2 linked regions of the Rhinolophus ferrumequinum genome follow. The protein of the gene in region 1 purifies or fractionates together with the protein of each later gene. This does not show direct contact. Links are inferred from orthologs where the notes say so. Each region holds a gene or a part of one and is shown on either strand. Other genes may lie near its edges.

What was found.
Region 2: the proteins of CTTNBP2NL (region 1) and STK24 purify together in Homo sapiens (affinity purification with mass spectrometry; 3 studies listed by BioGRID and IntAct, with this or other methods). This does not show direct contact. The link is inferred for Rhinolophus ferrumequinum from reciprocal best matches to the Homo sapiens genes CTTNBP2NL and STK24.

The regions. Positions count from the first base shown.
Region 1 is NC_046305.1:43,723,798-43,739,040, forward strand, and holds the start of CTTNBP2NL (CTTNBP2 N-terminal-like protein), read left to right. Parts: upstream 1-9,093; 5' UTR 9,094-9,206; intron 9,207-15,199; exon of another isoform or gene 15,200-15,243. UniProt on the Homo sapiens protein: Regulates lamellipodial actin dynamics in a CTTN-dependent manner. Associates with core striatin-interacting phosphatase and kinase (STRIPAK) complex to form CTTNBP2NL-STRIPAK complexes.
Region 2 is NC_046287.1:44,273,971-44,289,060, reverse strand, and holds the start of STK24 (serine/threonine-protein kinase 24), read left to right. Parts: upstream 1-9,286; 5' UTR 9,287-9,602; coding exon 9,603-9,644; intron 9,645-15,090. UniProt on the Homo sapiens protein: Serine/threonine-protein kinase that acts on both serine and threonine residues and promotes apoptosis in response to stress stimuli and caspase activation.

The sequences.
Region 1 (15,243 bases):
GGCGGGGATGAAGAATTTGATCAGACATCATGGGTGGGCGAATTCTCTAAACTAACTCAGCAGCAGTCCTGCTAAAACAGGGCTGTGCAAGCCCAGCAAGGCAGGGAGGGAATGCGTGTGGCCACATTGAGACCTAGTCAAGAACAGGGCTCAGACGAGCCTGACTAAAGTTTGGTCAAGGAGAGACTCTTCATCACCAGTTGTCTGGGGCAGAGTGGGACTCCACGATTCTGGAGAGACCAGGAAGCAAATATGAGGGCTTTGTAGACCATGTTATCTTAAGAACCAGAAAGTTTTCATCAGGAGGGAGGGGGTATGACAGGATTAGATTGTGTTTTCTTAAAATCTACTCTGCTTGCTATGTGGAGAATGAACTGGAAGGGGCTAGAATGAATGCTAGGAGACCACTTAGAAAGCTACTGCTATTGTCCTGGAAAGAAACAAGATAATGGACAAATCAAGATGGTGGTGACGGTAGAAACAGAAGTAAAAAGATTTGAGATATTCGGGAGGTAGAACTGACAGGACTCAGTGATAGATTGGTGGTAGAGAGAAAAAGGTATCAGTAAGTTTCCTGGTGTCTCATTTCATCTTTACTACAACCCTGTGAATCACATTAGCATTTTCTCAATTTTATGGATAAGGGGTTTGAAACTCAAAGTAGCTAAGTGATATGTCAAAGTCATGCAGCTAGTAGGTCTGGCTCTAAAGTGACCACGACGCTACACAAGAGTCAAGCAGCTCTTCCTCGAAGAAGATGCCACTCCCTCTTTTGTGCCTCGGAAAGCTACGCCTACCATTACGGCTAGCATTGTACATCACCCACAACCTTCCGTTTGCCTGTGCAGCAGGAAAACAAATTAAAATAGTATCACAGAAGCTGGGTGCAGTTTGAGTCAGTTGACCTCCAGGGATAGTACATATTGATTCCTTTGTCGAAGAAAGTGACTTCATGGGCTTAGCTAGCTCTGAAAAGTAAAGTGAGTCCCTTGGGTAGAACTGAGAGAACGGTTGAGCAATAAGGAATTAAATCACTCTGCATGACAAAGTTCGAGCAGGAACCAAGGTCATTGTGTCTGGCACACCGGAACTCGATATATTTTTGCTGAAACTCTGGAGATGGGACCCAGCAACCTGTGATTTAACAAGACCTTCAGGCAATTCCAATACACCCTCAAATCCAAGAACCTCTAATCTTTAAATAACTTTTTAATACTGCACGGACCATCCCTAGTCCCCCAAATCCTCAGTGAAAAGTTGCTATACACAACAGTCTTTTGTTAGTAGTGCTTTGGGTAACAGGACAAAGCCCCTCCATCCAAGAGTTCCTGACAACGACCAACAGCTAGGAAAGTCCAGGCCAAGGCAGAGCTGGGGCAGGGTGAGAGACGCAGGCTGCAACTCAAGCTGACCTGAGAGCAAATGTGAGGTGGACGAACCCTCAAATGTGCAGTAAACATTCACCTTTTGCTTTGCAAACATCCATCCCCATTGGTGGGGGTGGGGAAATAAATGAATTTTCATTTAAGGTTATAGCTTTTCCCACACTTAATCTGTAGCTCTAGATAGAGCACATGACCTAAACCTAGTCAATCAAAGCAACACATTCCTCTGGCCACAGTGATTGGTTCAGGGGCGAACACATGGTCCAACCAGAGCCAAGAAGACAGACTGAGATTTTTCTCAGACTTCTGGGAAAGAGCGAGGTGCTCTTTCCTATTGAATGTGATGGGATCTGAAGCTAGAGCTACTGTGCTTATGGCCAACTAAAAAAGAAAGCATGTCTGTAAATAGAACTAACACAGAAGTAGAATTGAGAGATACACAGAGAGAAACCTGATCCTGGTTACATTTTTGAGAAGCCAGATCCAGCCTCTTCTGAAGTTAGCCTACTCATAGACCTTTTCGTGCCATGAACACAATAAAAACCCTTTTTGCTTTGCACAATGTGGGAGCAGTTTTCTGTCCCTTATATCTGGAGGCATCCCGACTATGACAGAAGACAGTGGGTTGAGTTATTTTCTTTGGAAAGTGTGGCTACAGAAAGCAGGAGAACTTGAGGTGTGAGTTACCTAAGTCTAACTCCCCTCCAGACTGTAAGCATCCTGAGGTTGGAGCTGTGTGTTATTTTTCGTGGTGATGATAGGAGACACTCAAGGATTATTTTAGGAACAAAAGGGGAAGAGGGAGGCAAGGCAGAGAGAAAAAAAGGGGGATGAGAAATAACTCATCTACAGACTCCTCCCAAGGAGGCAGGAAACCTGAGTCACCTGGTCACTTGGTTCTAGTCAGACCAGACCCTGCAGAGCCCAGCAGGAGCCACAAAGCAGGAAATGAGGGTATTGCAACTTCCTGCACCAGCCTACTCCAAAGGGCCACGTACCAGAAAATTGCCTAGAAATGACGGTGCAGCCATAACCAGGTCATTACTTTCCCTACAAATATTTCTCCCTTTTGTGAGCAACAAGGACCCATTCATCCAACTGTGTGGGGCCTCAGCTGAAATAACAGACCAGGGGAAATGTGTAATTGGCTTTCATCAAATTGAAGCCGTAGGGCAGCCCAGCTGAGCAGAAACTCTGTCTCTGGCCATAGCACAGAAATTATTTTCTGCTTAATGTCAGCCCACGTGTGGAGGAAAAGGGGGAACAGACGGGAAAGAGAAAGAGGACCAGCCTTCACGGTCAGCGTCAGCCCTTCTGGCAAAGCTACTCAGCCCAGAGCTTTGTCTGAATAGCCAGCCGGGGCAGAAAGGGGATCTGACTCCAGACTTTTGGGGGAGGAAGGCAGTGGAGCAGAGGAGAAACAGGAAGAGAGACAGAAAGGGGAAGGGTTGGAAGAGGGAGAAAGAGTTAACCTGTAATGAAATAAGTCCACTTACATATGACACATGGTACACGACTGATATCATTTCCCACGTGTCTGCCTATATGACACTTGGAAACAAAAAAACATAACATTAACCAGTTTATCAACTCATCATCTGGCATATGTTTTTCAATTATAATTTCAGAGATCAAAACCAAAAGGAAAACTTGAGACTCATCCAAGGGAACATAGAGCATTCTTCCAGGGACCTATGACTAATCTGTATTTTGGGGGTGAGGAGAGGAGTTCAAAACGACTCCCATTCTTGGGAACTTTGCTGGGTGATTTGGAAACTCCACAGTGTATCTCATCTACTTCTAGGAATTTTCCATCTGGGCTAAACTGCACACCATCTACCTTCCCTTTTTGCCCCTCTGTGAGCTTTGTGTCCCCCATCCCGGCCCCCCGACTTCAGGGGAGCATGTGAGTTCCACATAGGATGAGGGAGACGGGACCCTGGGTCCCGCGGGTGTTCTCCCGAAGGCCCCTAACAGCAATACTGCTGTGCAATTCCCAGCGTGCATTTCCCCAAGCAAATTGTCCCCAGGATCCTGTGAACTTCGGCCTTGGCTTTGTCATTGCGGTCCTAAGAAAAGATTCTATCTTTGGATCTGCAGATCCAAAAAACCACATGGCCCTAGTTTCCTGGTCGTCAGGAAGGGCCACCAGGCAGCCCCAGTAATGGAAAGATCAGTGAGTCACGCAGGTCTGGGCTCAGTCCCACCTCCACCACCCACCAGCTCCATGAGGCAATCCTGGAATGGAAACAGCACGGCTGGAGCCCCGAGGGCTGAGCTCTCTGACCTCAGTCAAGCTTCCCCATTATCCCTTTCTTAAACTACCTAAATCCCAGGGGCCTCGTCTGTAAAACGGAGATTGTAAGAACTAAAGGTTTGCTGTGAGGATTAAAAGAAATAACGTGCCTGGTGTGAAGCAGGTACTACATGATTGGTTGATGTTATCATCATTATTGTTATTATGTGGCCTTAGGCAAGACATTTAACCTCTCTGAACTTGCTTTCTTATCTGAAACACCGGAAGTAGGAAGTAAGAATAATGACCTCTTAGGATGGTCCCAAGGATTATATAAGGATTATATACGTAATGGTGACGAGGAGTATACAAGTAACATTGGCAAAGTGCCTGATACATAGTAGGCACTCAATGGTAGATTTCTTTCCCTTTCCTTCCCAGACCTCCTCCTCCACAATCCAGGGTAAGAATTTCCTGGATCCCTCATGGCCAAGCTGGCCCCAACATTTAGCTAAAAAAACAGAAGAATCTGTCCCTGAAAGTGGTTTTTCAAATTGCTGGCCCTTGGAGCCCCCCCACCTGTGGTGGTCTCAGCCCACACCCATACAAGGATAAACTGTCAGGTGGGAGTTTTTCCTGACTCTCAGGAAAAATGGTGAGGACCGCACTGAGATCGCCAGGAGGGAAGCTGACAGCTGCAGACCTCATCGCTCAGCACTAGGGGGAGCAGTAAGCTCGGGAACACAGTGAGGGCCACGCCCCGAAATCTCTCCATTCCGCGTGTCCCCAGTCGCTCAAATGGAGCAGATCTAGCAGAAGAGAACGCTTAAGGAATACGCAGAAAGGCCTTTGTGGAAACTAATGATGGGAGAAAATGCTGGGAGCCATGGAGAGCCCATCTTCCCTCCTGCTTCCGCCTGGTCCCTGCCTTAGAGAGCCCTCTCAGGCTTCTAGATTTCGACGGCCGGATCCCCTTCTGGAGGAGCTGAGCGGGAGGGTGAAGAAAGGAGGTAGGGAAGACAGGCTAGGTCACTTTTCCCAGTCACCCAACTTTTACATCAAGCTCACCCAGCATCTTAGTAAGTCCCAGCGAGTCACAGCTAGAAGGAGCCTTATAGAACCCCAGGTGTTCAACTCCCAGATGTTTAGCTGGAGGATTGGGACCCAAAGAGGAGTCTTTAAGCAAAGATCTCCCAGGTAGTTTATAATAACCCCTCAGAGTTAGCCAAATACTTTTATGTCCATCATCTCACTTGGGTATTCACAACCACCAGGTGCTGTAGGCTGAGACTATTACCTCATTTCACAAATGAGGAAACAGGTTCAGGTAAGTGGCCATAGTTCTCTTCCCTACTAAATTTTCATTGCCACCCACCATTCCCTCCTCTCTTGCTTACCCTTGCTTTAAAATTGGTCCAAACAACACACGTAACCCCAGGAAGATCGCTGCTCAGCTCCAAGTATTCCATAAATCAAATTTTATATTTGATTTATTTACAAATTTTTATATTTGTTGCAAGCCCCGTCTTCCTAACCCCCATCTAGCATGATGGAGGTAGTAATTGGAGTCAGATCCAAGTAAATATTTTATGTTTGTCACTTATGAATTCCATGACCATGGATGGATCTTTTTGTGCCTCAATTTCCTTATCAGTAAAATGAGGATATTTACTTATCAGTAAAATGAGATAGATTCTCCTGGGATTCTTTTAAAGGTTGAATCAGATGTACTGTAAAGCAATTTTATAGTGCCTGTGATATTGTAAAGGCTTGACAAATGGCTACTGGCATATATAATTATATCATCATGGAACTGAAATGATCTCTGGGAATTATTTTATTACTTTTATGCTGTTTTCCAATGAAGTCAGATGGAGGGAGTTAAGTGGGATGTTACTCTGAGAAGTACAGTTTACATACCGGTTTGACTGTTTCGCCTTCCCCAAATTCATGTCCACCTGGAACCTCAGAAGGTGAACTTGTTTGGAAATAGGGTCTTTGCAGATGTAATGAGTTAATAGGAGGTCGTATTAGATTCGTGTCAGCTCTAAATCCCATACGACTGTTGTCCTTATAAGCAGAGGAGACATATAGAGACATCGAGACAGAGGGAAGAAGGCCGTGTGAAGACAGAGACAGACTGAGGTGACGCAACTACAAGCCAAGGAACTTCAATCCCAGAACCAGGGATTGTCTGGGGGCCGTCAGAAGCCGGGAGCCCCCAGAAGGAACCAACATTGCCAACAACTTGATTTTAGACTTCTAGCCTCCAGACTAAGAGAGAATAAATTTCCGTTTTAAGCCACGCTGTTTGTGGTAATTTGTTATGGCAGCCCTAAGAAATTAAAAGTTTGTGACAGAGGGAGAACTCTGACAGAACTTCATGGTTTTTAAATTCCAGTCTAGCCCTCTTTACTCCATCATTGCCTCCCTAAGCCAGCAATAAACACTTATGGAACACCTAGCTAGGAAGTTTACCTGTTTGGAGAAAAGCTGACTCAATCTATATAATCGTTAGCATTTCCTACTAAGTTGTTGCCTGACACACAGTAGGCATTTAATAAATATTTACTGGCAAGTTGATAAAATAACAGATATAAAAATGCCATATTGTGATATACAAACTTAAGATAGCTTAAGAACCCACTTTCTACCTCTATGTACATCTTTGTACTCTATTTACACATTTTATATATTAAAGAATCTTAACACTCAGAACTCTCTCTCATGGCTGCAGCTACAGCCTGAAGGTCTCCTGAAGTTCATAACCCTGCTCATTAACTACCTGCAGGGGTGAATTAAAAGGAAAGTGTTTACCCCAGAAGGAATGTATCTGTCAAAAAGGACTCCTTGTGGTTAACTGGACCTAAGCAAGAGTCCAGCAGCCATTGTTTGCAGAGGCCTCTCACAGGTAGGGCCACAGACTGAGCTAGCTATCTATGCCTCCTGCACTGCATTCCTGCAGCCTGAGCAAAAACTTATAGATTCTGTCCAATCAGAACTGAGCAACTAGAGCCTCATTTGCATCTTTACCAACCAGCAAATAACAACTAATCAGAATGTGTGATTCTGACCAATCAGGACAGTGCTATTTGAACCAATCAAACAGGGAAAATTTTGATTCCTCATTTGCATAAAAAGACCAATCGGATCAGGACAGCACTTCATAAAAGGCAGCATCCCCTTTGTCGCAGGAAAGTGCATTTTCAGTTTCTCTCCCTCTTCTAGCCTGCATTTTCCCCAGTTTGCAAACTGTTTACCTGAATAAAGTCTTGCCTCCACCCCCGCCACACCCCAGACTGGGTACTCCTGTGGGTGGCAGAGATTCTATTGACAAAAGCAATCTGGATACCCTCAGGATTCTGAATCTTACAAGGCAAATATGGTCTAATTTTTGCTGGGTCCTCTCACACTCAGGAACGGACAGGACGGAGCTGTGGGAGCCAGGGGAGCTGCCCGTTGCCATAAAGGGAGTAGCATAGAGCACTACAGTGTGGGAGTAGAATGGGCACTGGTGGGTTAACAGCTAAAAGGGAGGGAGGGGAAGGAGGGAGGAGCTGATTCACTAGGACAACTCTTAGAGTGACTCAGAAGCCAGCAGAAAATAGCCTGTTCTCCCACATCTGCTTCATTGTCAGGCAATGAGGCACTTCCTCATTGCACACCCTTAGGCTGGGCAAAAGGGTGGAGGAGGAAATGGGATTTTTCAAATTCATGGGCCTATTCCAGCACCTGAATTGAGTGTTTGTAATCATCTCAGACATTTTGTTTCAAGTCAAGTCACTATTTATTGAGCACCTACTATGTGCCTGGCTTTTCATTTTGCCTTTCAGATCATCAGTCACCTGAACACAGGGAGTGCTGTGTTTCTGAAGTTCTGTATTTCCTACTTCATTACCTAAAAGGCACTTGGGCCGCTGTTGAGCACCTCAGTACAGTTTTGCTGTCCTTCATATATACAAATGACCCTCTCAAGCCTACAGCCAATCAGTACAGGGAGGCATGAAGCTTTTTTCTGGCTTTAATGGTGATTTTACAGTCATCTAGGTCCATTCTCTGGACCTGTCTTCCTTGTAAGAGCCAGAGTGAGATAAGCGACTATGCCACAGGTTTGGAATCACTCATTGTTGTTAAGTTTTTTTCTTTCCCATTTACTAGCTCTATGATGTTACTTAATTTCTCTGAATCTCTATCGTCTCGTGTGTAAAATGGGCACAATGTCTATCTTACAGGTCAGCAAAGATTTTCATAAAGTAGTGGAGATTAAATACCATATGAAAGTACCTGGCACAGTGATGCCACAAAAACTGGTTTACTTCCTTCCGATTTCCCTGTGATGGAACAGACTGACCACATCCCTCCACGAGACTGTAAATTGAATGAGGGCAGTGCTGTATCTGCCTCGAAGACTATGTCTGCCTAGGTGAGTATTAGGCCCCTGTTTTGCTTAATAATTGTTAAGAATAGTACATTATTAAAGTTAGTACATATTTATGCAATCGAATATAAATATTCGATTGTATTATAAGCATTTATTATGCTATATTTAAAATAATGTGGTTGTTAATCTTTTAACTGCTAGCTGAATCAATCTGTGAACTGGAAAAGGAATCCAGTTCCTCAGACAGGGATAAGGGGATGTATCCTCTCCCCTCTTTGGTCCTGGTAGGGCTTGCTGCCACCAGCAAGATGTGCATCCCCGGGTTCACAAGAAAGGACACACATCCCTTGCATCCTCTACACTGTCCTTTGTTCGAGCTCCACTTGCAAACGCCACTGCCCACAGTATAAGGGTGCGAAGGACACAAAAAAGTCCCCTTATTGGGCAGCATTGCGTGGAAAACCTTGACACACAAATTTGCAAATATTCATTCGACTTCCACCTGGAAGGCAAGTCGGACTGGATTTATGCTCTCCCTGGTGCTAGCCAGTGTCCCCACCCCAGGGGCTCCAGAGCTAGTATGCTCTTCTAAATGTAGCGTGAATAGAGAAGGGCGGTCTCCGGGTTTTTCATCTTTGCGCCCTTGCTTCTAGCACCACACCCACAAACTCATCCAAGGAAAAGAGACAGCAGGTAAGACACGTTACCAGGTTTTCAACAAATTCTAAAGCAGACACCAAAGCGCACTTCAAACGTTAATGTGGCCCAATCGATCAGGACACCCGCCATTCCTAAGCTTCCTAGACCAGGAGCGTTAAAGCACGAAGCACTCGCCCGGTCCTGCCCGGAAACCACACAGAGGATGGAAAGTTGCAGAAGCCGGGCCGGGAGGGGCCCGAGTCCAACGCCAAGCTCAGGCCGAAGGGGGATGCTTCCTCCCGGAAGTGACGCGAGCTCAATCCCAGCTTGGCTCTCCCCAAACAAAAGGGATCTCGGGGCCCCGGGAGGAGCCTCAATGACATTGGAGAAGCCCCGCCTCCAGCCGGCGCGAATTGGTGCCGGGGCTGGAGAGGCGAGATGGCGATTGGCGGCGGTGAATGCCAGTGCCCCCGCCTGGTGGTTGAGGGGCGGGGACTCGGGGAACTGTGGATGGGAGCGGGTTAGCGGAGGCGGCGAGGAGCGGAGCCCGGAGCGCCGGGATAAGGTAGGAGCCGCTAGGGCTGGGGCTTGGCGGTGGCTGGGAGGCCGCGTTCTCCAGAGAAAAGTAAGGGTAGGACCATCGATGTCCTCCCGCCACCGTCCCAACTGCCATTCGCGTCCATCCCCGAAGGGGGCGGGGCCCTCTCTTCCACCTCCCGGTATTCCCGGTGGAGGCGGCTCCTCATCCTTCGAGGGTCCTCGCAGCTACTTATTGTCCCCCATCAATCCCAGCTCCGTAGAAGGGGCTCCCCTCCTGACACCTCTCATTCAACCCCGCCCCCAGCGCCTCAACCTTGGGGGAGGGCGCACAGGTTCCCATTCTTTAGGCTGCCGCTCCCACCCCCATTTTGTCCCCCGGGGAGCCCAGACATCCCGCCCAACACCTGCCCCTGCTCGCTAAGGTGGCACCAGAGCTGGTTTCATCCATAAGATAAAATCAGTGTTTTCCCAAAAAAGAGGGATGGAGCGGAAGCAAAAATCAAAGACCCGATCTAGGCTGCCAGCTCCACAGACCAAGCGGCCTTCCCTCACTTCAGTTCTTCCCATCCCCCATGCTCTGGTCATCAGCCTTCCTCCCGAAGCCCCTCGGGTCCTCTGTTCTCCTGTAGGGGAGAGAGCCCACCTGCTGCGGGACTTTTTTTAGACTCTGGAGGAAGGAGAAATAGTAACTCCCCACCCCCACGGCCCCCTTTGTACGTTCCCTCTACCCTGTTCTTTCAGGGAGAACCCAACCTCTAAGGGTTTTTTTAGGTTTGAGTTGTGTTTCATTTTTGCTTTCCACCCTATTTCTTCCCTGAGAACTTGATGAAGAACCAAAAACCATCCTTTATGTTTCACAGTGAGGTGGGTGTGTTGGACATCTCCACATCTGGCCTTGTGTGGGGAGAGGTGCAGTATGTATTGTCATTGAATAAACAGCACACTTTAAAATCAAACAGTATTGATGAGTAAATAAAGAGCATTAGATTAGGAATGAGTCTAAGGTGGGCTGGTCAGTTGCTCAGGGAGACTGCCGTTAACCTTGAAGGTATATTTCTGTTGAAACAAAAGGCAGGAAGTGTTTGAAGAAAATTCAGGCTCAGTTGTCTAGGTTTATGATTAATCTGGTCCTGTGGCCTTTGGTTCCTCTCTAGCCCCCTTTTTTAATGGTGGGTTTTTCCCTCCAGGCGGAACTGATACATATATAATGTTATGGATTGGTTTTCCAAGAACAGTGTCAGCCACCAAAATTTAGGGGGTGAAAAGTAAGAGCACGTTTTAAATCTCAGAGAGAAGGATAAATAAAAACAAGGTTAACGCCAGCTATTCACACGCCTTGTAACTATCAGAAGTGTCTCTGTGGTGGTCTCATAAGGCTTTGTCAAGCTGGCCTTCATTTCAGCAGGTGCAAAATATTGATGATTTGGGCGGAATGTTAATGCCATTGAATCCTCGGTAATCATCCATTGCTAGCACTTGCATATATTAAAAATTGCCATATATTTTTAGCTCATTTCTTTTGCTTTTTATCTGTAGTCCATCTTACTACTGTTTCCTGTAGCTAGAGCTAATAGCAATGAGATGCAAGGAGTTGGACTCACAGAGGGTAGTCTTTCATAATGGCTGTCTTTCACCTTCCTGATGGAACTTTCTTGAAGGTAGACTTCCTGAAGATAATTATTTTTGAATATTTAGTCTCGAAGTTTTCAGGGCCACTCTCGGTGCTCCCAGATCTGTTCAGTGATTGTTTCCAGATCCTCAATAAAACAGCACAAAGAAGAAACTGTGCGGAGGGTGTCTCCAGCAAACAAAATGTACTGCAGTAGGAGGGTAAGACATGTTTCCCCCGCAATAGCAGTAGAAAAAACTAAGAGCAAAACAGGAAATCCTCAAAAGATATATCTTGTTACATGAGCAGAGAACAGAAAATAAACTAAGGTAGCAGACCAAGGAGACCAAAGTAGTGGACATTGCCAGGACCTTAATGAACAGATAGGAAAAACCAAATCACACTCTTTGATTATTTGGCACAATAAGGACCTGTTCGATACACGTTTGGGTTTTGGAAATCTTTCCTCTAACTTTTCAACACTTGTTTGGTCATATTAGATGAAGAAAAGCCTTTTGCATATAGAGGATTTTTATGTATATGTCTAATCTATCTCATTAAATTACAAATTCTTTGAGAGCAGCCAGTAGGTGGTTTTTTTTCATCTTTGTATCTTTCACAGTGCCTGGTATATATAGTTTGATTTAATGAGTGCTGAACTTAGTTTGAAGCTGTCACTTTAGAGTAGCCTAGAAAGATAATGTACTGATAAGATATGGCACATCTTGTTAGTATGAACAATCCACTTTTTGTCTTGATTTAATTTTTATTTTCCCTACCTGATGTCTCATAAAACCACAGTATCTTAAGTAACTCTAAAATATGGAATTTTCTATAAGAGAATGTCTGCTGGTTAGATATATAATTTTGCTGTAATGAAATCCGAACAGGTTTATTGATGTAATCAGTGCTAGTTATCTTAGGATTTCATTTTCCTAAGAATCTGACCAGAGAGGAATGAAGTTCATTTAGGAGCGCATACTAGGAACTGATTGCTGGGTTTTGTTTAAGAGTGTTTGGTTTTGACCAGTTACCGATCTGCTGTAGGATTTTGTTAATGGATTTTTAGTTGTTTTTGTGCTGTTCTGAACTAGGAATAAATGCACAAACCGGGGCACAAATAGGAGTGGGTCCCTGAATGGAGTCGTCGGTGTACGGTGGGTTCCTGTCTTGGCAGAACCTGGTTTGGAACTTGCAGAACTAGTCTGGAATTCTTGGTTTTTCTGAGTGGAGCAGAATGGTGTTTGTATAGGTTGCCATTGGAGTGGTGTTTGGTGGCTTGAGACGAGAAACAGATTTCTTTCTTTCTAGAGGAAATTTATCCAGTCTGTGGTGTTTGACCCCAAGAATGGCTTGTCGGCCTGTTTCTAAAGGCCATTTTTTCTCATATTTCCTGAATGTTTGCTAATAACTAAAAATCAAGTCTTCCAAGGTTCAGTTCAAAGTATTTCCGTGAGAAAATGACATATTTATTGTCAGGCTGTAGAGTGTGGTAACTTACAGCGCAGATTTCAAGGCAAATTTGGGTTCAAATCCCAACTCTACTACTCTCACTGCGAGTGAGGACGAAAGCAGAGTTTTCTGTCTTCACCATATCCCAGTTTCCTGTGCTGTGACATAGCAATAACTTCTAGAATTTTTTTTTAAGAATTACATTTAAATAAGGATTACAAAGCAAGGTTACCTACGTAGCATGTAGGAAGTGCTCAATAATTGGTAGGTATTATCGTTGTTATTCTACTTTGCATATGTGCTAAAGAATTTAACATTAAACATTTTTACTTCTTTAGCATTTTAGCAAAGGTGATGAATTAGTGTTAATTTTAGTTATTGGTTGGTTTTGTTTTAAATTTTTCAATATACAGCTAAGATTTCTAAGTAGAGGGACACAAAGCTTGTATATGTCATGACCTCAGACATCTGATCTGAGGATTGTTAGGAGAGTGTGTGTCTGTCTCATAGTGTGTGTTGCATAATTGTGTCATGGAAATTATCTCCCTTGAATTTTTTGGCCCGGGAATAAGAAAGGCAAGAGATTCGGCCATCTGATGTCTTCTCTCTGAATTGCCCATTGTTCCACTCCAGACTCTACTGTCTTAAGTACCTCTGTCCTGAGTGTCAAACTGTATAAATGGCTTGGTGGATACTGGGATACGGTACGTTCTGTGAGATTTATGGGCTATTCAGTGATAACTTTGATTAAAAGTGGTTTTTGCCTTTTGAAGACAACTCCTCCACTGCCCCCCAAAGTGAGGAGCAGTTATAGGAACAATGAAAACGGGTGAGAAGAAAGCACCTGTGGGGGAGTTAAGAGTGGAGGTAGGGGAGGAAAATAGGATTGTCTACAAGGAGGCGACGGTGTAAAGAATGCAGTAAGACCTTCCCCCCTGCCTTGTGTTTTCAGACTCTGTAGTTCAGGTTCAGAGCTTCCAATCTGTGTCCTTTGCTGCTAACAATCCTTTCTGACTTGTGGAGCCACAAAGACTGTAATCCTTAATTGTTACTGAGTCTGGTAGAAACCAGAAAGGACGAAGGGAGAGCGCAGGACGAGGGGGTTTCCAGACAAAAAGAGATTCCTGACCTTGAACCTTGGGAGGCTCTGCTTTGATCCTTTGTGCAAAAGCTGCTGGGGAAGGCTGGGCTGTGTGTGCTCCGGGTCTGCTCTCCTTAGAAAGGTGAGAAGCAGGGAGGGAGGAAAACAGGGGAGTAGAGCGGGGATGAATTGTTTTAACAAGAGATGAGAACTATACCTTATAAAGGAGAGAATAATGAGAATAGCTGACAGGTAAGTTGTAGGAAAAAGAGAAGCACTAACTCTTATTTTTGGTGGGAAGGGTGCCCTACTCAGTTTCTGCTAAGCAGTCCTTCTGTTGCAGCAGGTCTGAGAGGAGTGAGAACAGAACCAAGCTGGACGTTAACTGGTGTAATATGTGAGGGTACAAAACTTATCAGGTCTGCTTCTGCACTTCAGCTTCTTCCTGTTGCCTTTTGTTCTTAAATGAAAGGCACCGAGGGTTGCTGAAAAGGCTCTACCTCTGAAGACCGCTCCACTTGTAAATGTTTAGCGTTCGTGGCACTGGCTCTTACCACGTTCCTCTTGGGGTCTAATTACTTCTCGTTGAGCACATCACAGTCATCATTTCCCCCTAAAACCAGTTCCTTTTCTGACATCCCTGTTCCTGTTAATGGCATCATCATTTTAGTCACCCCGTCTGGAAAGCTCAGCTGATCTCGGATCATTTCCCCTCTTGCCTACTTAAATGGAACCAGTACCAAGTCACTGTAAATTCTCTATAAAGTCTCTCAAACATTTCTTTTGCTTTCTGACCGCCGCCGTCCTAGTTCACACCGTTTTGCCACATACATTTACTCTGACAGTTTTCTCCCAACTGCTCTTTCTGCTTCAGTCAAATCAACCGTGTGCCTCAAGCCTTAACCTTCCTGACACTGGGCTTTCGTTAGGACAGTCAACTGCTTAGGAATGTGTAGGGGCGTCTCATTTCCTAAAAGATCAAGTCCAGTTTCGTTGGCTGTAATTCAAGGTACTGTGCTGTACGTTTCTTTCCGACCGGCGTTTTTTGAGTACCCCTTTGAACCAGACTGCTAGGTGCTGAGTTTCATCAAGTTGAATAAGACAGTAGTTATTTGTCTAGAATAGCAGTCAGATGAGACAGAAGACAGATATGTAAACAGATGAATTGATGTAATAGGATGTGATAACTGCTCCTGGGTTATGAATATACAAGTAGATGTATACTTATTACATGTGTAACATAATGTAAAAACTAGCTGTGATATTTTTAGAAAACTCGTTTCTCAGTCATTGCCAGTTACAATTGTGACTTGATTAAAAGCTGTGAAAATTCAGTGGAAGCAAAGGCATGCGTTTCTCCTATATGCTAAAGGCACAAAAAGCTAGTCGAGGCAGAAGAAAGTTCTTTTCTTTTCCCAAGTAGTAGACAGATTCCGCTGGCCTGAAAAAGTGTTGTATGTGTCCCTAAGCCAACTCTCCTGGGAACTAGCCAGGCCATCTCCTCCTTGGAGGTGTCAGGTCAGAAGGAGTAAACTTGTTTTGATTTCTAAATTAGACACGTGAATGGTAGAAAATGAGGACTCAATGGAAAAAGGAAGACTTCATTATCTTTGCAGATGACACCAAATATATGCTATCCAGGGATGGGAAATGGGAGGACTGAGCAGTCACCAACTCATTTAAGCCATTCAGGATCCTGTTAGAATATGTAGTGTTATTATCCCGATTTTATAGATGAAGAACTTAAAAGATTAAGTGGATCAGGGAACCGTGAAGTGGCTGTGCCCGGTCTCTTGGCCTAGGGCACTTTCCACTACAAGGCACTGCCTCCCAGGAGAATTATTGTCCCCAAAGGACCTTGGAACAAAAACAATTGCTAGGTCTGTTGTTGGTCATTTCCAACTGATAACAAATTGTTAA
Region 2 (15,090 bases), on another chromosome or scaffold:
TGTTCATGTCCCGGAAGGCCTGAATCTTCAGGACGGAAACCTGCCTCCTCGTGTTCTCAGCAGTTATACATATTTTGGACTCGGCCTTTACCTCAAACTGTAATTCCGTGTTATGGGTTGGCTTACAGAGTAGTCCAGGATGGCTCCTTGGTCTCCTTCTGGCAACTCTCCACATCCATGTGGCTGAAGTCTCTTTTTCCTCCTTCCTGCGCTTCCCTAAACTTGTCCTGTTTGAATTCTACTCAATGGTCTGACCACTCACCCAGCTGACCACGGTCACTCTTCTAGAGCAAGGTTCCACAAACTACACCCGAGGTACAGATCGGGTCTGCCAACTGTGTTTTTAGACCAAATGTCCTTGGAAAGCCTCATGCTAAATTGAATGCATATAGTCTGTGGTTGTTTTGCTGACAGAACAGTGAAGATCATACAGTCCACAAAGCCTACAATATTGACTATTCGGCCCTTTACAGAAAAGTTTGCCAACCCCGATCCTTATAACTCCATGAGAAGGTCCTGAATTTAATATGAAAGATTTTCCCACTGCCAGATGAAGTAGCTACACAAAGCAAACCTACAACTCCCCCATTTCAGTAGGTATAGGGCTCTGGTCTGCTCAGTGTTGCTTTATGTAGGTTATCACACTCCCTTCCCTTCCGCCGATCTGTCCTCTGCCTCTGGTAATAATGGGATGATTCTCCCACACCCCACCCCACTCCACCCCCTGTGCCCCAGCCAATCACAATCCTCCCTACAACTTTACTAGAGCTATCAGGAAAGATGCTTCCTTTAAATCCAGGCTTGCAAGCTATGAGGGTGATGAGACCTAAGGCTGACATAACCATCCTTCTCTCCCATGGAAAGAGCCCACCTAACAGGTAACGTAAGCAGAGGCCAAGGAGACAAAACAACAGGACACATAGAGTCCGGATTACCATCTGAATCCCCAAATCGAGTTGTCAGAAGCTAGTTGCACCTCTTACAATTTTTCTTTTTGAACTTGATTGTGACTTAATTATAAATACTGAATTTCCCAGTTATACAAGATAATAAATTGCTATTTCTCTCTAAGTTAATTTTAATTGGGTTTCTGTCATGTGAAACCAAAAGCGTCCAGATGAGTAAAAAAACTGGAACCAGGAATCAAAGATACAAGAGAAAACTTGGGTAGTTGGCAGGTAGGACTGAATGGAAGACAGTAGGAGTCCCTGTAACTGGAGAGCTGGTGGTCCCTGACCTGAATGATCCTTGGTCTGAGCTGGCTGAACTATTACCAGTTGTGCTTCAGGACCTGGATCATTTGTAGACTTTGGACTCAATAGGTACAGACGATGAAAATTGACGACACCCACATCTAAATACAGAAGCATAGTATTTGTATGGCACACGGGTCTAAACAGAAGGGAACACTCTCCGCCATCGGCTCTGCCCATGATGTGGGTATACTGGTGTGCCACTGCCCAACACCTACAGGCTCTCCATAAGGGAAGGCCAGAAGGTGCAATGGAAAGGTGCACATTCAAGGACTCGGACTCCATAGGTTGATGACTTTGGTCTCCTACTCAGTTTTCAAGGGAATTATATCACCAGAGCAATTTAGTCACTATTTAATCTCTAAACCATGGTTCCCAAACCATGGCCCCAACACACCCTGAGTACTGTAGAGAATTCACAGTGGAACCATGGGATATTTAAAATTTTTCAGGAAATAGCGGTACTAAACATCTGTCAGACACCACACTGACAGGTAGTCCACAGTTTTAACATGCGATTATGCTACATTCTTTTCAATGATGTCATATGTCTGCAAAGCAGGTGCTTATATTTTTGGGAGGTGCTGTGACAAAAAGCACAAATATCAATATGTAACAAGAACTGAAGGTGATGGTGTCCAGTGTGATTCTAAGGTCTGGAACGGTGTGCAGTTTCCAACAGAAACACATGTCCCCTTAGCAAGTAATTGTGATTACTTACAAATGAAATTAAAATATTTTTTTAAATTGCAGGATTATTTCTTCAGATTGCTACTAAGTTATTAAGACAGAAATTCTCAAGCTGTTTTTACCTAGCTTTTTAGTTAATTGGACTGTTAGGTATTTCTTTTGGCTCAGAGATGCTATGAATAAATTACTAAGATGCTAAGGGTGCTGTTAAGGAGCAAGTTTGGGACCTCTGCACTAAGGCAATCCCCAGGACCCCAAACCTTCACCAATAGGAGCAGGGCTGGTCAAGTCGTGCAGCCTCCAGAAGGAGCAGCCTGCCCCACGTTCCACTCCTGTGTAGCCATGGAGGACCACAGAGAAGGTAGAACCTTTCAAAGGGCAGAGCCAAGGGCAGCTCCAGTGGCTGGCTCACGCACCCGCCCCCCCCCCACACCCAACAGCCTCACTTTCCAGGAAGGTACCATGTACAGCTGACTTGTGAACAACATGGGTGTGAACTGCACTGGTCCACTTCCATGCAGACTGTTTTCAATAAATACTGTAGAATGTATTTTCTCTCATCATTTTCTTTTCTTCAGCTTACTTTATTATGTGAATACAGTATATAATGTATATAACATACAAAACACATGTTAATCCACTGTTTGTTATTGGCAAAGCTTCCTGTCAATAGCAGGCTATTAGTAGCTCACTTTGTGGGGAGACAAAAGCTACGTGTGGATTTCCGACTGTGCGTGGGCCTGCGCCCCTAACCAGTGTTGTTCACGGGTCAACTGCATGTGATGGACTCATGGTGATGCCTGCTCACTTCCCTTTCTCCCCCTTTTCAAGTGAGAGTTTTTAAAGTGGTTAATCAAAAATATTCTTTTCCATAATATATTAAGCACATTAGGAAGATAACACTTACCATTTAGATACAGACTGCTGACCTGTGGTAAGCCACATCCAGACTTGACAAAGAAGAATGCATACTATCCAGAGCCCCTGGACGAGAAAACGGATGACCTAACTAGAAGGCACTTGAGCTTGACTTGCTTTGCATACACATGGATTGGCTGTACTATGTTGGCGGAGGAGGATTACGGAAGAAATTCTACCTACGGAAAAAGAGACCGTGTAAGTGCACAAGTGTGTGCATGTGCTGGGCCTTCAAGGGGTGGAGTGTTCCAGGACCAGGCTTTTCTCCATTGGGAAACTGCCTCTTCCACACTGCATGCTATTGGGATGGGGCTTCCTGTGTCTTCTTGCTCTCTGGTCACAAGAATGCACACACACACATTTGAGTTCCTCCACCAGATGTGGCACACGGACACTGGGGAAGAGAAAGTCGCTCTCTTCTCTCTACGATTACAAGGACCATATTAGAAGGACTCTTGACACCACACTGAGAGAATCTACATGGGGATGAAGCTATGCAGAGGCTGGCAGAGGAGAGACATAAAGACAGAATTCTGATATTATCATTGAACCCACCCTCCTGGATTTAGCCAAGCTTGGATTTCTATCACTGAGCTAAAACTTCCCTTTTGTGCTTACAGAAGTTTGAGCTAGGTTTCTGTCACTTGTTATTCAAAGAGTTCTAACTAATAGAATCATCACTAATACATCTTCTTGGGAAAACAAATAAAACTGGGCTGGAATATCAAGGTAGAGAAAATCAAGGGACTACAAGCTTAGCTTTTCTGCAGGCGAAGGAAAGGGTAGTGTTTAGGTCAGTATTTTCACGAGGGTTCCAAGCATACTTGGTTATGTGCATTCAGGAACCAGTGCCTGTAACTCATAGGTACATTTTACCTCTGTGTGGCTATACAATCCTCCTTAAGCACGTAATTCCCTAGATCTTCTTGAAGAGAAAATTAAAACCATTTCCCACCATTTGTCTTCCTGGTCAGAAAGCAAGGCCAAGGGTTTTTAAGAACTGGTGTTAACAGTTCTGTGACTGGAGTACGGATGAAATCACCCTTCAGGGGATGATTTCATTTATGTCCTTTCTGGGTACATCTGAAAGCAAACCCAGCCTCCAGAGGGAGGGAAATCCACACACACACAGAGATTGATGAGTCTTTGTTTACTGAAGCCTTTATAAGCTGATTGGCAGGGTCAAGTGGCCACTGTTTAGAGGGTGACAAGCTCTGTTAATTGGCTCTTTACCAGGCAAAATGGCACATGAGAGTTTTTCTAGTGAGCCTGTTCCGGTCTGCCCTTCTTACCAGCCTAAACTTCTCTAGTGTGAGTCCCTAGAACTGCCACGCTGGGAATGTGCAACTAAAAGCCCCCCGGCCCTTTGGGGACTCAGCCTCCAATCCTGGTAAATCTCCAAGTGCAATGTTACTCAGGGATGACAGAGGCACTAAAGACAGACCTTATTACAGCATAACCTTTTGGCTGAAACGAGTATTCATCACTTTTGATGTACCCCCTACAAAATACTCTAAACTCTTTTCTGGCAGGTTTTGCCATGTATTCCAGATGATTTCAAATATATATATATATATATATATATATATATATAATTTTTTTTCGTTCTTCTGCCTCCCCCCAACCCCCAACTCCAGTTCAAGCCGTTGTCTCTGAGTCTAGTTGTGTAGGACACAGCTCCCTGGCCCATGCTGGTATCATGAGCCTTGCGCTCCCCCCAGCTCAGGCAGTCAGTAGTTGGTCGTCTGCCAGCTGCTCATGCTGGCCACCAGCCGCTCCTGGTAGCACAGCAGCCCCCAGCGTCCCACGGCAGCTCACACCGACCTCTGGCTGCTCAAAGCAGCCCAGCTCCAGGGAGAACCATTGTTCACAACCCTAACTGTAGAGGGCGCAGCTCACTGGCTCATGTGGGAATCGAACCTGTGACCTCAGCATTAGGAAAACGGCGCTCCACCACCTGAGCCACCCAGCCGGCCCTAGAAATATTTTTACAAAGCAAACACCTGCTTCTATTCCCTGCTTCTGCTCTCAGTTGTCCAGTGATTGGAGATTAGTGCTCTGGTTTCCATGTGAGATAAAGATTAGAGACTACACCCAAGGAAATATGAAACAATGTCTATTAGCAGAAATGTGAAGTGTGTAACAAGGTCCACAGGCCTTTGGAGAGGGAAAAGCAAGCTCTTGCTCATGGACCTGAGCCTGGAGGAACAGGGCGCTGACCAGAAATGCATACATAGTGAAAGGGGTGTGTTACGGGCTGAATCGTGTGTCTCCCCAACCCCACCCCAATTCATATGTTGAAGTCTTAACCCCCAGTATCTGAGAATGTGACTGTATTTGGAGATAGGGTCTTTAAAGAGGTCATTAAGTTAAAATGAAGTCACTTGGGTGTACCCTAGCCAAATGCGATGAGTGTCCTTATAAGACAAGATCAGGATACACACACACAGGGAAGATTGTGGGAGGACACAGGAAGAAAATGGTCACCTCCAAGCCAAGGAAAGAGGCTTCAGAAGAAACTTACTCTACTGCCACCTTGATCTTGGACTTCTAGCCTCCGGAACTATGAGGAAATACATTTCTGTTATTTAGGCCACCCCACCCATGGTACTTTGTAATGGCAGCCTGAGCAAACAAATGTAGGGTGCAACCAAAAACTGACTTAGAATGATGGTGCTGTGAGCTTGCCCTCTGAGCCTCAGTCACAGAATGCAACTACCTTTCACTGTTCCCCAATGTAGCTGGATCTTTTCCTAGGGCTTTAGCATACATTTTCTTGATATCATGTCATCCAACTATGTCTAGTCATGCTGCTTTATACGGATCTTAATAAATCTGTCTTCCTCTTTTGTGTCTTCACCTGCTAAACATGTGTAGAAATTTGTCAAGCCTTCTGTTAGTTACTTATCCAAGCTACTCATATTTCTCTCTTTAAAGTTCACCATGTAAGTCCCTTTCTTTAATCTGTAAATTTAAATTGCTAATGTGCTACTTGTCTAGCTGTTCTTTATAAAGTGGCATTTGGGGGTGTTTATCTTTTCAACTCAGAAGAAGTGAAGGGACTGATTGTTGAATTCTTGTTTCTGGCTGCATTCTGAGCTCTGCTGAGGCTATGAGCTGGCTTAGGGGAAGTCAATACACAAGGGTTCTATATTTGGAGGGGCTTTATATAGGGGAATGGAAATGTCCTTTGTGGTCCCGAATATGTGTCAGAGCACAATTCACGCTCAATTCATGTCCTTAGGTCAACACAAAAGACAGAGAGGGCCAAGGGATGAAAATAATTCCTTGGGTTAGTAAGTATCTCCATGGAGACCAGAAAATGCATGATCTTTATAGAGACCCTCAAAATCTCTCCTGAAATTACAGTAGTATATGATCTGTTGGAATTATAAATTGAGGATGGAGGGAAGTGACAAAAGGGAGAGGATGAAAGGATAATCCTCTTCTTTCCTTAGTGGAACTATACACATTGTGACTCTAAATTTAATCAATTGTGGTACTGTAAAATTCTGAAGTTAAGATTCTGGGAGACCACGTCCCGAGGATAGGATGAGAGGCATCTGAGAACCTAGTATTTATACGCCCAGCACTGAACCAGATGCTGACATGTGTTTGGCATTCAAAAAATGTGCTAATGTATGAATGGATTCAATGAGCAATTGGGCAGGATCGCATCATGGGCTCAGGCCCTGTCCATCATCTGTGTTCTGTTAAAACAAAGGGAGAAGGCCACTGTCTGCGGAATACTGGGAAATATCTGCCTATGACTGTGCGGAACAGTAACTCCTATTTTGCTTCTCTTTCAAGGACAATGATGCTCAATTGTATAAATATGGTCAAAGGAGGAAATGAAGTTCACTTGTGGTGAGGAGATAAGCCGGGTACAGGGAAATAGACCAGTTAAAGAATGCAAGTAATTGTGTCCAGATGAATTATGTATCCTACTGTAACATACCTGTTCTTAGCCTTACTAGTCTCTGGAGGTGAAAAAGGATTTGGAATACTTTTGATACGCAGGGTATTGTGGTCCAATGCCCCACTATGGCTTATTTGTTGCAAACTGGCCCACTACAAAACAGGCCCCTGTGTTTTTTGTGTTTCCTACGGTAATGCCTCAGCTTAGTGCCCAAACATTTCTGTCCACTCGTCCTATTTCTTCCTTCTTATCTTGCTATCACGTTATTGCTCTGATTGCTGATCCTAAGGAGAGACCTCTTAGCATGATGGTCTCTAATGGTTGACCACTGACTGAAACAATCATCTTTAATTCCAGAAAAAGCTACTGCTAAATCTTGGTGTATATACTTTCAGGTTTTTCTGTTTACAAATATATACATAAAATTATACATACATGTAAATGATATATATGTTAAATATAACTTCATATACATGAAGTAGCTTGAGATCAGACTATAATAGTTTTGTACTCTGCATTTTGTTTCTAACAATACAAAATGAAAATATTTTCCATTTTACTAAATGTTGAAATACATCATTTTTTACTGACTACGTGGTACTCACTGTATGAATATACTATCATTTACTTAATATCTATTAGACTTTTAATGTGTTCCCAGTTTTCCCATGATTATAAATATCACTGAACTGCATCTTTTTATATCCATTCTTATGCATGTCTTGGTTGTTTCTAAATATTAATAGAATTCCTGGGTTGAAGATTATGAACATTTTTAAGATTTATGCTCTTGCTTGTTTTACTGTTCATCTCTTTATGTACCCATTTTTTTTAGGTACACAAAATTTACAAAAGATGGTGAATCCTAGGTATCAGGATTCATGCTTTTCCTTTTTTTTTTTTTAAGGAGGGCACAGCTCACAGTGGCCCATGTGGGGATAGAACTGGCAACCTTGGTGTTATTAGCACCAACCTCTAACCAACTGAGCTAACCGGCCACCCCCATGCTTTTTTTTCACTTTGCATTTGCCACCTTCTCTTCCCAATACTTGGGGGCGGTAGGGCTTTACAACTCAGTGCAGTTAGTGTACCAGTGACAACGGTAAAGCTATCTGAAGGTATCCTGGAGAATCCCAAGGAAAAACACGTGTATCGTGTATTCCCAAAGGGAAAGCAGGGAGTACATTTTAGCACCCCCCTCCTTGTCTAATCCAGAGCACAGAGAGAACTGAAAGTCTCTCAATACAATGACACCTCAGAGAATAAACACTCCTTACCTCGGTGGAGAACTTTTAGAATTTCCTCCAGTAGTGTGTGAACTCTTGGGGGCTCATTTTTGTATGTCCAACCTCACACAGTGATGGTGCAACATGGCTTTCATTCAGGGGCATGAATGAGGTGCCAGGATCCCAACAACCTGAGGTACAGCAGATCACTTCAGTGGCTACCACTGTCATTGTAAATAAAATACTTTCTGGAGGCAGCAGACTCGTTCCTTCTTTCTTTCCTCTGTAGTTGGAGACTAAAAGGTGGAGACAGAAGTGGTGCCCAGAGCGGACCTGGGGCTTTTGGAGGCAGCAGAGAGGGAGAGGGCTGGGGTAAGTCTAGACACGGTTTCCTTCTATTGTCTTCCCTTCCTCCTTGCCCCTCCCTCCCTCCCCTGCATTTCCCTTCTCATGGTGGACGCTGCAGCCTGGAACCTGAGCCCGGAGATGGTGGGATTGAGCCCCCTCGCTTCTTAGCTAAGTTTACAGCGCCTAGTATTGCAAGCGGGGCTGTTTTCAAGCAGCAAAAGCACTCAGAATGAACAGCTCTCGGCCTCTCCCCTCGGTTTCCTCCTCGGGTTGGCTGGAAACTTCACGGAGACACCGAAGAAACTCCGCCCTGGTAGTTCTGAGCTGACCACCGGCTGAGGCCCCGCTGGGCATTCTCCCTCCCGAAGTCTCCCAGCCCCAGACTATGCCCTCGGGGAGGTAGCCTGGAGCCCGTTTCCTGGGGGCAGAAGGAAAAGGGTGGGCTCGCTTGGAGGGCAGGAGGAAGATGGTAGAGTCAGAGCTGGTGCTCACCGCTCCCTCGCCGTCCAGACCCCCTTAGGACTCCCACCAGGCCCAGGCGTGGGGGTGGGGGTGGGCACACAGCCAATTCCTGGGTCCCACCCGGTTCCCTCTTTCCCACGCCGGGAGGCCGCTCAGGCTGAGGCCCCCTCCCCGCTCATAGCCGCCAACTGGGGGCAAAGGGCAGCGCGCAACAACACTCGGATCCCCGCCCGCCCCGGCAGGCGGCGGCTGCGGCCTAGGGCAGCTGGCGACCGCGAGCCTCCTCCCCCTCCCGGAAGCGCGGGGCGGGGTCCCCGGCCGGGCCGCGGGGGCGGGCGCGGGGGCCGGGCCGGGGCGGGGCGCGCTCGGCGCTCGCGGGCTGGGCTGGCTGTGCGCGCCCACTCCGACTCCAGGCCTCCGGCTCTAGCCTAGCGGCGGCGACGGCGGCGGCGGCATCGGCATCGGCAGCCTCAGCCTCAGCCTCAGCCTCAGCCTCAGCAGCAGCAGCAGCAGCAGCAGCAGCAGCAGCAGCAGCTATTCGCGGCGAGGCCCTGCGCCCCTCGCAGCCCCTTCCCGGCGCTGTGCATGGAGACGCCGCCCGCCGCCGGCTGCTGAGCCACCATCCGGCCCGGGACCTGCGGGGGCTGGGGTGGCCTCGGGCTCCGACTCGGGCTTGGCCGGCCGCCCTCGTCGCCCGAGGGCTGCGCTTGGCCCGCGGGCCTCGTCGCCCGCGCGAATCGCCGCGGCCCGGCCGTCCCGTCCCAGGAATTAGCCGTCCTGACCGCCATGGCTCACTCCCCGGTGCAGTCGGGCCTGCCCGGCATGCAGGTAAGCAGCAGCCGGGCCGCCGAGGGGCGGGAGGGATGCGCGGGCCGGGGCGGAAGCAGAGAACTTGGCGGTGTAAACATGGCCCCCCCCACGCTGCCCCTTCCGGGGTCGCGCCGGCCTCCCGCGTCCGGCTCTCAGTGCCCGGGGCGCCCCTGCCCGGCTCGGCGGTCAGCGTTTCGGGGACGGGGGGCGGCGCGGGGACCTGGGGGCCGCGGCCTGGAGGCGGCCCTCTCCGTCTGGGAGTCGCGGTGGTCAGGGAGGGATGTGGGGGTGCCGGCCGTCTTCTTCCCCGCTCCCCTGTCTCCCCAGCGCCTCCGGAGCTGCAGGCCCAGCGCCGGCCCCAGCCCCGGGGGAGAAGTGATGTGGGGAAATGCCCTTGGAGGCCCCGGCGCGGTCTCTGGGCCCTGCCTGCGCGCGGCGGGTGCTGGAGGCCCCTGTCCCCTCCCTGCGAGCGGGCGGTAAAGTTGAGAGGCGGGAGGGGAGCCCCGGGCGCGTCAGGACTAGTCCTGGGCCCTGCCCGGGTGGAGGAGCCGGGATAGGGTGGAGGGAGGTGCAATTGCCAGCTCCACTTCCAGCGCGCGTTTCCTTCTGGTGCAGACACAGGGGAAAGTGCGAGCCTGTAAACCGTGCAGAAGGACTCCCTGGGACAGCGTGCACTCGAGTGTCCCGAGCCGAGGCTGACCCGCCCGGTCCTGGGACACTAGGCTTTTACTTTGAGAATTGATTGAATCCAGATGAGTTCTTCCCAGTAAACCTTTCCGTTGATACTTTGTGGCATGTTGGCCTACCATTGACTTTTTTGGGGTGGGGAGAAGTTGAATTTCAAATTACATGAAGGCGTTCAAGTTTTTCTGTATCGGGCACCGTTTTTAGCCCTTTGAAAAATAAAACCACCCTGCTTGGCTAATTTGTAATGCGTGTAAGCGCATAAGAGGTGTCAAAATCATTAGGATTAAAAACCTCACGATGCAGTTAGGGTATGTCATTAACGTTCTGCTCTCCCAACTTAGCTAAACGAGTGATCATGAAAACACAACCCCAGTATCTAAGTGGATTAGTTATCCTACAGACAGCCACGGGCTTGTTTTCTCTTCTTGCCTCGCTCTTGAGGGCTGAGAGGAACGGGGCTGGAGGACCTGGCCTTTTAGAAGCCGGGAATCTGTTCCTCTCTTTCGACGCACATCGTTTTCTCTCATTAAAACCATAAAAAGAAAACGATTTCATTGTTTAGGTTTGCAGTACTGAAATATAGGAACATAAAGTTACCAGAATTCTAGCCTCAGTTTTTTTTTTTTTTAAGGAGTAGCAGTTAAAGTTAATACCGAGAGAGCTTGAAGAAAACTGTCCTTGAATCTCATCCAAAGAGTTTTTAAACTCAACGTGCATTTAAAAGCTAAGCTTTTGCTGACCACTAGGTAAAAATCAGATGTGGTTTCTTGGTATTTCCTAAAGTTCCTGCTTTGGTTTGGTTTGAACTGAGATGCAGGAAGGCAGGGTGAACTGGCTGAAAAATGATTTCTGACCAGTAGAGCAAGAAGGCCTTCTTGTAGTGACCAAAAAAATAAAAAAAAATAAAAAAAAAATACGTCTGCTCAATCTTTCCTTTAGACGGACTTTTATGCTGTTTTAATCAGGTTGCAGTCTAGCACAAATGCCTCCCTGAGAGTTTACCACGGAGGTATTCCGCCTTTGTGGAGAGAGCATCAGTTTAAAAAGGTACTTAAAAGCCTCACTAGCTGGTGCCCTGAAGTCAGTATCAGATGGTTACCAGGTACCTTTTTTTGTCCTCACTTTTTTCTTTCTTCAAGAGTGTGGGCCAAAATTCTTAAATCTTGGGAAAAGAAGGTGAATTTCATTTAATAACTTTGCCGCCCAAATACAGTGCATTTACTAGGTAGTGTTACAAAGGAACTGTTTTTATTTTGCTTTCTCAGTATGAAAGCTGATAAATTTTTATTTAGTTGAAAAAACCAAATTTTCATCTTGTTAGAGTTGTAGAGGAGTTGAAGGTGGCTTTTGACAGTCATCCCTATATTTAAGTACATGTATAAACTGTATGATAATTGTTTTTAGTTTGCTATTTGGGAATGAACACCCCCCCCCCCCCCCCCGCACCCCCCAAGAAAAACAACAAGCACGTTTATTTCCTACTTTGAATTAGCAGCTGCTACTGCCCAGGGAGGCTTTTCCTCAGTGTTGTTGGGGATTAAATTAAAGGCACACCCGCCTTGGCCTGTTCTCTAGGATAAAACAGGAGAACTACTAACCCTTCTGTGCTCTGTCCTGATACATCTCACATCCCTCTCTTTTTTCTCTCTTATCTCCTGACCAGGGCTTATAAGGAGCTGGGTTAAAAGTTTTAGGAAGACAGTACAGTGAATTCAGGCAGCCTAGGCAAAGATGCCTACAAAATAAGCCTGAATGAGAGAACATTTTAGTGTAAACATAAGTTTTCAGTGTCTTGCAAATCATTTCTATGCCTCTTGTTTCTTACTTGTTACCATTTGAGGCATAGTTATTATATGCGATTTTCTAGATTTGGGAATCAACTAAAGACTAATTGAACTGACCAAGGTGAGATGGGGCAAATTTGTGACTTGAAACCAGGTCTTTCTTGCCTTCAAGACCATACTCACCATGCTGTATTACTACTTTTACAAAAATTAATATTCATTTCATTCCAACTTGGGTGTGGTGAAGAAACGAGAAATACGAGATTGGTATTTTATTCAGTCAGCAGTCATTGACCACTTCATGTGGCAGGTCCTGGCTGAGGGGTTGATGACTAAATCTGTTTTTAATGTTTAATGAAGGGTGCCAGGGTGCCTTTCTTTTTTACTTCCCACACCCCAGCTTCATATTAGCATAGGGGGAAAAAATAGAAATCGTGAACTGAATGTAGTAACTACGAATAGACATAAAGAAATTAGGTTGTTGTGTAGATTTAACCACTCCCTGTCCTTCATTGGATATTTGGTGTTTCACTCAATTCAGATTAAAAGAAAATAAAGCTTCAGTTGGAGGCAAGAGCACTGATCACGGCATAGTTTTTACAAGTTGAAATTTGAGAAGAATTATATTTTGGTTTATACATTTCTCACAGAATTTTGTCGGTCACTTTTGAACTTTTCTGGACTATGACCCATGTAAGAGATACATTTTACATCAAGACCGGAAACAGAAATTTTGGAAGATAGTCCTGATCCTTAATACTTGTGAAGTACTGTTATGTGATATATTTTAAGAAAAAGGAGCGGGTTGCAACACTAAATTGATTTCACAGCTGAGTGATTTGACCCAAGTTTGAAAAGTACTGATTAGCTGTGTCACATGTGTAGTGAAACCTGAGTTAAGTTAGCATGTTTTGAGAATGTCATAAATTTAAGATATTCTCATATTTGAAAGTACAGACAATTTATAGGAACAGCGAGAGAACTTAAAATTTCTACTGGTTAGCATTATCCTTCCTTTGCGCTAGCTGCTTGGAGAAACCCTTGCCTGAGAAGTCCCCTGTGTGGGGATACAGTGCAAGACGGTAATGGCCAGTTGGGATGCTTTGGGAGCTTTTCTCAAGTGCTCTTGCTTACCCTGCTGCAGCCTGTGTGCTCTGCAAAATCTGGGAAATGAAGGCAACAGACAGTTGCATTTAATTGTGGCTTAAGTGCTCTTGTCCCTTTTTTTCCTCTTTAGTGTCACATTTCCATAGTTTTTTTCCTGTTTCCATGGAAGAGACCTTCCCATGTTCAGTCTGTTACCATTTGCACCCAGGGCAAAGGTGGGTGTATCACAATTGTGGACCTTTCGAGTATTTGTGAGAATTAGATTGTGAAAGCACCTTGAGGGAAATGCTGAGCTGTAGGACGTGGCCTGGTGTCTCAGCACATTGAACTAGATGAGGAGCCTGCATTCAGGCAGCATATTCGTCTGCAGAGTGTGGTGCCAGCAGCCATGGGAGACGGAGGTGAGAACCTCCTGCGGGCCTGTCCCCAGGAAGGCCCAGCCTCGTGAGGGCCAATCCACATGAAGGACAGTGGGGCGCAGACAGCAGAGGTGTTGTATGGTGTTGAGAGCCGGGGGTGAGGGAACTGCATGGACCCAGGGAAAGGGGGCCTGGTTCCTGGCTGCAGTAGGGCAGGGTTGAGTGTTCTGTACTCAGGAACCCTGCTTTCTCAGTTGTGGGTGGTAGGTAGGAGAAGGTAGAGGGAGCTGGGTTCTGGGGAGTGCTGGGTGCTGGCTTGAAAGGCAGTGGCATGACGGGGGTGAGGTGAGGTTAACCTCAGGCAGTGAGAGCTCAGCAGAGAAGCCTGAGTGGTTGGAGCTGCTGGTGTCAGCAGGGTGGCCAGGGTGGACTTTTTCACAAGGTGGATTTAAACCTTGGTCATTTGAACTGTCAGTGAACATTTTACTCTTTTATTTACTCTGTCCCACCCCCCCTCTTATTTTGACCCTTTCTGCTGTTTTATGCTGAAGAATAAGTAAAGGCACATTTTTCTGTTAGTTTCTTAAAAAAGATACCTATTTCAATAATACTTCATATTCCCTCTTTTCCTGTGTTACCAAAACTTAACAGGGTTAAGAACATATTTGCTTAAAAGTGTATATTTTGGGGGGAGGGTCGTCGGAAGATTTTAAAAAATTAAAATGAAAAAATATAACGTAGAGGTGTCCAGGATGTTTTGTTTCTGAACGTTCCTGATAGTATTTCACATAGAACCAAGTGAGCGTCAAGTAGCAATTGGTCAGATTCGATTTTTCTAGGCAGCTAATGTAGCAACAGTCTTCCAGCAGAGAGTAGTTAGGGGTAAGTGGCAGTCATCACCACTGCTTTCTTGTTCGTTTTTGTAATTTTTGTTCTCATCTTTGAGGTACGGCTCTGATGCGTGTAGCTGAGCTGGCTCCTTTGATGCAGGTGGACACTGCTCTTCAGTTGAAGACTATTTTTCTAGGACCTTAGTTCAATATGCAGTGAGTAGTTACTGAAGAAATGAGCCCCTTGGTAGTTGTTGCTTCTCCCTAGTGCGTTTTTACAGTCATGCTAAAGCCAGAGTCCAGGAGTCTGGTGATCTCTTGAGAAACATGCTACTTTACTCTCTATTTGGGTGATTTCTCCCAGTGATTCAGAGTTGCCTGCTTGGAAACTTGGTACCTGCAGGAAATGGACCGCACCCAGCCAACCCTCTTGTGGCTTTTTTTCTGCTTTAGCTGAGCATGGTTATCATTAATGGAATCTTGTGGCAGGAAGGAGTTTGTGCAGGAAATAGAAGTTGCACTGTTATCCCTCTATTGCTGCTTAGAGTCAATCGCTGTCATTGGGCCAGTCATTTCCCATAATTCATGTTTTTGCATTGCAATGTATTTAAAAACTCTTAGTGCCAGATATTTTGGGAAAAAGAAAAACATGCCTATTGCAACACCTGGCTCCTGAGGGTGACTATGGAATTTCCTA